Ovis aries: one gene and its partner. The protein of the gene in region 2 interacts with the protein of the main gene of each other region in a biochemical or structural test. Links are inferred from orthologs where the notes say so. Each region holds a gene or a part of one and is shown on either strand. Other genes may lie near its edges.

Evidence for each region.
Region 1: the proteins of CALR (region 2) and MBL2 form a complex in vitro, tested with the Homo sapiens proteins (2 studies listed by BioGRID and IntAct). The link is inferred for Ovis aries from reciprocal best matches to the Homo sapiens genes CALR and MBL2.

Annotation. Positions count from the first base shown.
Region 1 is NC_056075.1:6,145,125-6,149,689, reverse strand, and holds the start of MBL2 (mannose-binding protein C), read right to left. Parts: upstream 2,814-4,565; 5' UTR 2,738-2,813; intron 1,707-2,737; 5' UTR 1,698-1,706; coding exon 1,508-1,697; intron 1,113-1,507; coding exon 996-1,112; intron 1-995. UniProt on the Homo sapiens protein: Calcium-dependent lectin involved in innate immune defense. Binds mannose, fucose and N-acetylglucosamine on different microorganisms and activates the lectin complement pathway.
Region 2 is NC_056058.1:10,923,384-10,927,727, forward strand, and holds the start of CALR (calreticulin), read right to left. Parts: upstream 3,008-4,344; 5' UTR 2,937-3,007; coding exon 2,846-2,936; intron 2,478-2,845; coding exon 2,376-2,477; intron 2,216-2,375; coding exon 2,012-2,215; intron 1,559-2,011; coding exon 1,464-1,558; intron 1,374-1,463; coding exon 1,164-1,373; intron 1,082-1,163; coding exon 968-1,081; intron 888-967; coding exon 744-887; intron 134-743; coding exon 41-133; intron 1-40. UniProt on the Homo sapiens protein: Calcium-binding chaperone that promotes folding, oligomeric assembly and quality control in the endoplasmic reticulum (ER) via the calreticulin/calnexin cycle.

The DNA of each region.
Region 1 (4,565 bases), on a different chromosome or scaffold from region 2:
GATCTGTTAATAGCATTATAGCTCTCCACATGCCAAGCTACTCACTAATTGTTTTATTTCTCCAAACAAATAGCTCTATCATGGACAAAATTGTGGAATAAACTAATTGAAGAATGATTATGAGCTGGTGAATATTGACTATAAAGTCTACAGAGTTTCATGTTTGGGCATGTCTTGGTTTTGTTCATTTTGTTGTTTGTTTTTCCCTGAGTTTGTCCTGTTAATCAGTAAACTAGGATTTCTGTGAGTTGTCCATTATCCATGGGGGAGGGCATGAGACAAGCTATGTGTAGCTGATGGCAAAAATGACCTCGATATGATACAGCTTCTCTTAGGAAATGGAGTCTATTCCCCACTCCTTGAATCTGAGCTGGCCTTGTGACTTGTGTTGATCAATACAACGTGGTGGAAGCAATAGTGTATGTATCCCAAGCCTTAAGGGGCCTTAAACCTTCCGCTCTTCCTTTTCTTGTGAATCCTGTAATCACCTCTGTGTGATTAAGGCCAGGTGAGTCAACTGGAGGAGGAGAGACCCGTGGCTCAGTCGCCTTCATCACTCCAGCTCATGGGTGCACAATAGCCAGCGTGTAAGTGAGACCATGGGCCACCAGTTGACACATGAGTGAGTCCAGCTGAGACCAGCAAAGAAATTATTTGATTCATAGAATTTTGATTTAAATAAATGGCTGTGTGTTGTTTCTCATGAAGTAAGAGATAATTGACATACTATGTATCTACCGCTCTTGCTGGAGGCTCAGATCCTCCAGCAGGCATCTCACAAGGGTTTGGCTCCGAACAGTTTGTGACTCTGTATTCAGGAATTGGTAGGAATGCCTGAGGCTCTAAGTAACCTACAGAAGCTGGAGGCGGCTTAGTCAGGAAGCAGAGTTGGGCATCTCCCCAGGAAGCAGCAGAAGGGGCATGTCCCACATGATACTTGAGCCCACAGACCCCAGGGGACTTCAGCCTGGACCTTGCTAAAGTAAACTCCTTACCCATATTTTCTCCAGGGTCTCCTTTTTGGCCTGTTGGTCCTGGTATCCCAGGGATCCCTGGTGTTCCCTGAGGCCCCATCTTTCCAGGAGGGCCCTGCGAGCCTCTGAGTCCTTGACCTGTTGGAGGAAAAAGGAAACATGACTCATTATTTGTGTTCCTTTTCTATTTCTCAAAAAATATGATGCCCAATCCCTTCCCAGGGGAAAGGAGACACTGAGCTAGGGCTAACTTTTCTGAGCTGCTGTTTGTAAGGACCATAGAAGAAAAGCCTCCTAAGTCCCATGGGATGGTCTGCCTTGAGGGTCAACTCCCTGAGCCTGCAGGACCACCAAGTGTTAGCAGTTCCTGTGTGAGAGTCTGGGATGCCAGAATCAGAGCCGTGTCTCTGTTTCAAATGATAATATGTAGTTAAGAGTAATACAAGTGGCATAAATGCATTACCCTCCTCCCAATCCAGGCGGTTTCCTTTGGGAGATGAAGAGTCGCAGAGAAAGAACAGCCCAAACTGTACCTGGTTCTCCCTTTTCTCCCTTGGCACCATCACGCCCATCTTTGCCTGGGAGGCCGTTGATGCCTGCAGGACCACAGGCAATCACAGGGCAGGTCTTCCGGATAGTCTCACAGTTCTCTGCTTCTGTGTCTGCACAAGATGCTGTCATCACAGTCAGGAGAAGAAAAGGAAATGACGGAAACAGCGACATGGTCCTCACCTTGGTGTAAGAAAAGTCAAGGAAGGTGATCTCATCTTGTTCTCTTTATCTACACATATTTAGTGAGCTTATAACCTATACTGGGCACATGTGATGTAGAGATGGATAATCCATTCCTGGCCTCCAAACTGGGAATTTGGAAATGTATTAATAAATCCTTCAATGACACTGGTTAATTAATACTTCAACAAAGGTAGGCATAAATAACTGCATTGTTGAGAGGAAGGAGCCACCGGTGTCTGTCCTCTGGTGTTACTGCAGAAATCTCTGATTATGTTCTCTGTGTCCTTTGCAAGAGCAAATAGGCATACTCATGGCCAGAGACTCATGCCTGCTGGCTTAGGGAGTAATCATAAATGGAGACCTAGCTTGCTCTTGCACTTCTCCCACTTGGGCCCTACTGCCACCTGCATCCCATCCTTATATCTGGATAGTCCTTTGCCCTCAGTGTCAAGATAACCAACATCTACTCAGTGGCAGGCACTGAGCTGCAAGCTAATGATCCAGAGAGGAAGAGTCACTGCTAGTTACTAACCCAGCCACAATTAACTTGAGTTTGCTTTCTCTTGATGTTTCTTTCTCACTGGAAGAAAGACTTGCCAGGGGGAGAATTTTCTCTGGAAATTATTCACTCTCTTAGCCCAGGCAGGATGCTAGATCCCTCTCTATTTCCTGACAGGTGTTCTGTGTGTCTTATATGTCGAGATCACTGGCAATGTTCCTTGAATACCCGTCTCATTTTTTAATCCTAACATTTCATCTGATCTTCAAAGTTCTTTTCTAGATGTCCCTCCCCAAGGAAACCTCAGCATCCCAGGACCCAAGGTCTTGGCTCTCTTTGAAAACAAAGGTACAGTCTCATTTGCAAATGTTTAGGTGAATCCAGGAAAGTTCCAGATGCCCCAGCATAAACAGAAAAATAGACACTCCAGCATGGATTCTACTTGCCCTCTCCTCACCTCCCTCCAAGATCAAGTCCAAGCCCTAACTATATGACCCAGGACCCCAGATCCATTTACCAAAGTACTCACCAGGGCTTCTGCAGATCAGGGATACAGTCACAAGGAAACTGGCCCTCCAGCAGGGTGCTGGCAGATGCCTTAGGGTAAGAGAGGAGGCTGGGCTTGGTAATACAAGGTCCACTCAGCCTGGTGGACAGGGACCACATGGGCCTGCCTGGCCTTCAACCCCAGATTAATAAATAATTCTTAAGGGGATTTCCCAGGGCTTCTGATACAGTGCTGGGTGGCAGTTTTCTTCAATACTGCACGATCCCCACTTCAGATTGTCAGTATTTGACAGTTCTCATTTCTGGGCCAACATGAGTTGGTTCACATGGTTAACTGTGTTCAAGATTCATGTCTTCAGCAGAGAAACATAAAGATACCTATGAACGCACTCATGCTTGCGCCTACTAACCACACGCACACACGTGCAGATGTGCACAGACACACCCATGAAGGTGCACAAACACCCTGCTGCTTTTGACACACCAAGACCACGCCTGTCTCAGGCTCTGGACTTGGTCTTCACCCAGCCTGAATGTCCTCTCTGTCATGTCACTGGCTGGCTCCTTCTCTTCTATTGAAATGTTCCTGCCTCAGAGAACCCTGTGTTGACTACTTTAAGTGATCCTGCTCTCTATCATCTTAACTTTATTTCCTTTAATATTTCTTATATTCCATGATGTTATATTCTATCCATTTAGTTTACTTTTCTAGCTTTTATTCTGGTAAGTATAAACAACATAAAATTTTACCGTTTTGACCATTATTAGGTGTACAATTTGGCAGCATTAAGTACAATCACATGGTTGTACAGCCTTCACCACTACCTATCTCGAGAATGTTTTCATTATCCCAAATTGAAACTCTGTACCTATTAAACAGTAATTCCCTATTTCCAACCCCAAGGTCAGCCCCAGCCCTTAGTGACTGCTGTTTTATTTTTGTCTCTATGAGCTTAACTGCTCTTGGTGTCTTATATAAATGGAATCATACAGGATTTGTCTTTTTGTGACTGACTTATTTCACTTAGGTTCATGCCTTCAAGGTTCATCCATGTTATGACATGTATCAGAATTTCCTTCCTAAGTTTAAAAATTAAATATGTGTACATAACACATTTTGGAAACTTCATTTTTTATAGCAAATAAAAAAAAGGCCCTGGAAATTACCCAGTTATCCTTCAATAAGCAAATGGATAAATAAACCATGGAAAATTCACAGGAAAATAAGCAGCAATTAATACAATAACTTGGATGAATTTCAAGGACATTATGTTAAGTAAAACCAATATAAACCTGGAAGCTTACAGACTGTATTATTTTTTTCATATAATATTCTTAAAATGGCGAAATTAAATAAGGGAGACCATATCAGCAGTTGGCAGGGAATAGGGCTTCAGGGAGAAGATAAAGATGCCGAACAAGAAAGTTTCACTGTGGGTGAGGGAATAGTTCTGTGTCTTAACTGTGATGATTAGACAAACCTATCACTGCAATAGCATTTCATAGAACTAAACACCAAGAAAAAAGGAATTCAGGTAAATAATGGTTAAATGCAAGTAAAACCCATATTGTATTGTTTTGATGTCAGCTCGCAGGTTTTGGTACTTGTACTCTGATATGTTAGATCCTACCATTGGTGAATGATGGAGGAAGAGTACCCGAGACTTTTCATTATGATTTCAAGTTGTCTATGAGACTAAAATGATTTCACATGAAAAAGTTTCCAGAGGGAGTCTTAAGGAAGTTGTGGGTGATCTAAAGACTATCCTTGCTCCAGTCAGTGTTTTGTCCAAACTTCCCAATGGGAAGAGTCTGTGCAATGGCTTGAAAGTGAGAAAAAGTGGGCCAGG
Region 2 (4,344 bases):
CCCTGCCCACCCCCAAACCCAGGCTGGACCTTGGTCTCACCTTTGTAACACCCCATGTCTCGTTGCCAAACTCCTCAGCATACGCTTCATCATTGGTGATAAGGAAGTTGTCAAAGATGGTGCCAGATTTGACCTGTATAGGGCCAGAATGGGTGGTCAGAAGGGATACCTGTTGGCCTTGGCCTTGAAAAGGTCTCCTGCCCATGCTCACATAACCACTACACAATACTACAGTCTAACATTGCAGTTGAAAAATAGGCTGCCTAGATTCAAACCTCAGCTCTGCCATTTACTATATATGATCTTGAGCTGGTGACTTCATCTCTTTGCACCTCAGTATCTTCATCTATAAAATGAGATCTCATTCTCTTCTTCAAACTATCTTTCCTAGTACAGTCTATGTGCCAAGCAGCATACTAGATGCAGAAAGTACATTGACAAACAGGACAAAAATTCGGCCCTTGTGAAGCTAAGTTCTAATGGGGTTATCTACCTGCCTTTCTAGGCTGCTGGATGCAATTGAGTTACTTCCCACAAAAATACTTGAAAATAGTACCTGGAACATATTAAGTACAAGCCAAAGCAGGTGCTGTTAAGACCCCGTAATGACAAACCAGGAATTTCTTAAAAGAAAGGGGGGGGGCACCATTTTGGAGTCTGCCCGCCCTTGTCCCCTTTTCTCCTGGGTTGACCCTGAGCACCTGAGGTCCCCTAGGGAGCCGCCTCTTCCCTCCATGTCTCACCTGCCAAAGATCCAAGCCTAGAACAGCAAAGTTTTCATAGGCGTAGATGTTGCTATCAGGGGAATACTCAGGGTTGTCAATCTCTGGATGGATCCAAACGCCCTTGTACTCTGGGTTGTCGATCTGCCTGGGCTTCCACTCCCCCTGCAGAAGTAAACTGACGGGTGAGCGAAGATCACTGCCTTCCCCATTGTGCACCACCCTCCTCAGAGTGCCAGACTCACCTTGTACTCTGGGTTCTGAATAACAGGTGGTTCCCACTCTCCGTCCATCTCTTCATCCCAGTCCTCAGGTTTCTTAGCATCAGGGTCAGGAATGTGCTCAGGCTTGTCCCAATCCTGAGGATACATTAGGAGGTCAGAATAGGAGCAGCTGTCCTCCACACGCTCCATGGTGGGGAGCCCCTGCCCAAGCACCAACCTCAGGCTTGGAGTCTGTGGGGTCATCGATCTTGGCACGATCATCCCAGTCTTCAGGCTTAGCGGCATCAGGATCCTTTATCTTCTTGGGGGGCAAGAAATCCCAGTCGTCCTCCAAGGAGCCTGACTCCACCTGGCTGTTATCAATCTTCACCTCATACGTATTATCAGGCCGCACAATCAGCGTGTACAGGTGGGTGAATTCATCGTCCTAAAGAGAATGAAAGATGAGTGGCCCCGCCCACCAGCCTGGGCTCAAAGCCTCCCCTCACAGCCATTTGTGACCACCCCCAAGGCACACCTTGCAGCGAATATCCTTGTTGATCAGCACATTCTTGCCCTTGTAGTTGAAGATGACATGAACCTTCTTGGTGCCGGGTCCACAGATGTCTGGGCCTTGGTGAGAAGCAGATCTTGGTCAGAACTACAGTCTGTCCACCATTACAAGCCCCTGCCCACCCCATTACAAAAAGACAACTTGGTTCTTAAACTCAGGACTGTCAAGCTGAAAAAACAAAATTCAGACCTTCTCTCTAAGGAACTGGGGGAGGACACTTAAAAAAAAACAAACCACACATCAGTACTCCAGAACTCACAATCTTCACTTGCACAACTAGGAACAAGGAAATGCCTATATAGTAAAACTGCACGAATTAGTGTGAAGTCGATGATAAAAATGCAGTAAGTGGTTCCTAACTATTCCCTCACCTTCCCTATGAAAGAAATGCCTAAAGCATGTAAGTGTTTTCTATGCTCTCAAGACCACCGTTCATGGGCGATAAAGAACTCCCCGGGTTTCAAACTCCCTCTAAGTGACCAGAAATCAGCACCAGGGTGGAGTCCCCTTACCAAACATGATGTTGTATTCGGAGTCCCCGTGCATGTCTGTCTGATCCAAACCAGCTGGAAACAGCTTCACATAGCCGCCCCCACAGTCGATGTTCTGCTCGTGTTTCACCGTGAACTGCACCACCAGCGTCTGACCCTTGTTGCTGAAAGGCTCAAATCTCGCCGACAGTGCGTAGAACCGGGCATCCTGGCTAGTCTGCAGGCCTACCGAGAGACTATAATCAGATCAGGGCTCAGCACCAACCCCCCGGGGAACCCTAAGGATGTAAAATACACACCAGTCCTCCTTCCTTCACCTCCCCTACTTCTAGGGATACCCAAACTCTGTCCTCCTGGATCTGAATACCCACTCCTAAGTTCTTACCTTTATCTTTCTCCTGGTCACCATAGAACTTGCCGGAACTGAGAACGAATTTGCCAAAATCCGGTTTGTGTTTGGATTCGATCCAGCGCTCGGTCCACCCGTCTAGAGGATCAAAGAGGCAGGTAAGCGCGGCGGTGCTGATCAACTCCCCACCAAACATCTACCAGGAGCCACAAACTGCTGGGAGCAAGGAAGGAGATTCCCCCCTCCCCCCAGACCGTCCCCACCCCAACCTCTAGTTTGACATCTCTGGTGACTTAAAAGATCCTCGGGCAAACCCTAACTCCCGCTTCGGAAAGCCGCTGCTCCCTCCACGCTCCCCAGGGACGCCGAAGGAAGGCTCGCCTTCGGCTCCAGTCCCTGAAGGAAACCGTGTTGGCCCTCTGAGCAGTAATTACAAGCGACACGCAGATATGGGCCGGAGGGCCAGCCGCGTCGTTAGGACGATCTCGAGCGGGACTAGCCGTTACCTCCGTCCAGAAACTGCTCCTTGAAGTAAACGGTGGGATCAGCGGCGGCCAGGCCGAGAAGGCCGAGCAGCAGCGGCACGGGTAGCAGCATGGCGGGCCGAGGGGGCGGTGGCGCGCGGGCCCTTTAAGTCACTCGTCCGGCAGCAGCTCTGCAGTGGGGACGGACGCCGCCGCCGGCCGTGCCCTTTTATACCCCGCCTGCTCTCAAACCAGCCTGGTCCGGCCTCTTGGTCCGCCTTCCTCACTTTATCATTGGTCTGTGGCCATAGCCCTGCCTTTCCATTGGACCCTTCTAGGCTCAGCATGTTAGGCTGTGCCTCGGAACGCTGGGTTCCCAGATGGCCGATTTCTATTGGCCGCACCACTGGCCAATGAAGGTCGACCACGCGTTGTGGGGGACGCCCACCGGTGAAGTCGGGGGGGCCTCGAGCCCCTCAGTCCAGGTCATGTGACCAGACCTCGGCCCAGCCCCGCCCTCCCTTGCGCGCGGCGTTCGGGATCTAGGCGTTTAAAGAACACGCGCGAGCTGTGGTGCTGCGTGAAGCTAGGGTCCGGCTCCATTCTAGACTCCACTCAAGGGTTGAGTGGGCAAGGTTTTCCTAGCGTCTTTCTACTCTGAGTTTGGGGAACCCCACCATTCCCACCTTGTCTTTCTCTTCCTTCCCACTCCTCTTCCCGTCCTCCACCCGCCTCCCTGCCCCCCCCCCCCCCCCCCCCCCCCGCCTTCCTCCCCAACCCCGCCTTCTCCCTCCCACACCTCCCTCCCCCGGGATGGGGCAGAGGGCACCGAGCCCTGGGGCTTCACTTCCTCCCAGCGCCGGAGCCCTGCAGGCCTGGGGGAAGAGTGCCTGTTCTCAGTACGGTCCCCGTAGTGACCTGGCAGCCTGTCAGACTGCTTCTGTGTGAGCTGGGGCAAGTCATTCAGCCTCTTTGAAATCACAGGATCTCTTGAAAGGCCAGGAGGAGCGACCCCGGCCAGCTGCTGTCCGGCGGAAATGCTTTTCAAGCTTTTAGGGATTTTCTGGGACAGAGGGAAGGACCCTGACGGCTCAAAAGATGTGACGACAGGTTGTGTTCCTCTCTTTGCAGCCTGTCCTTTACCTCCCTCCCATCCCCGCCCCCCAGCCGGTAAATGAAAGGGGTCGCCGCCTTGTGGTCTCCCGCAAACGGCCTGGTTTTGCAATTAAACGGCTGAATATGAGCGGGCAGGGGGTTCCGTTGGGGAGGAGAAAAAAAAAGAGGCAGATGGTGAGGAAGATAAGGTCCAAGAGAGGTGGGCAGGACCCCTGAGACTAGAGCCTTCTGAGGCCACAGGCACATGACTGGCAGTGACTGACACCAGCCCCATACCCCTAGGCTGCAGGAAGGAGGAAGGAGAACGGGGACTTTCCCAAACTGAGCAAATAGGCTCTGGACTTGGGAAGTAGGAATAAACTGGCGAAGGCGGGGGGTGGGGGGTTGGGGTGGTGGGGGGAGCGGATTCTGGCAAAAGAGTGGGG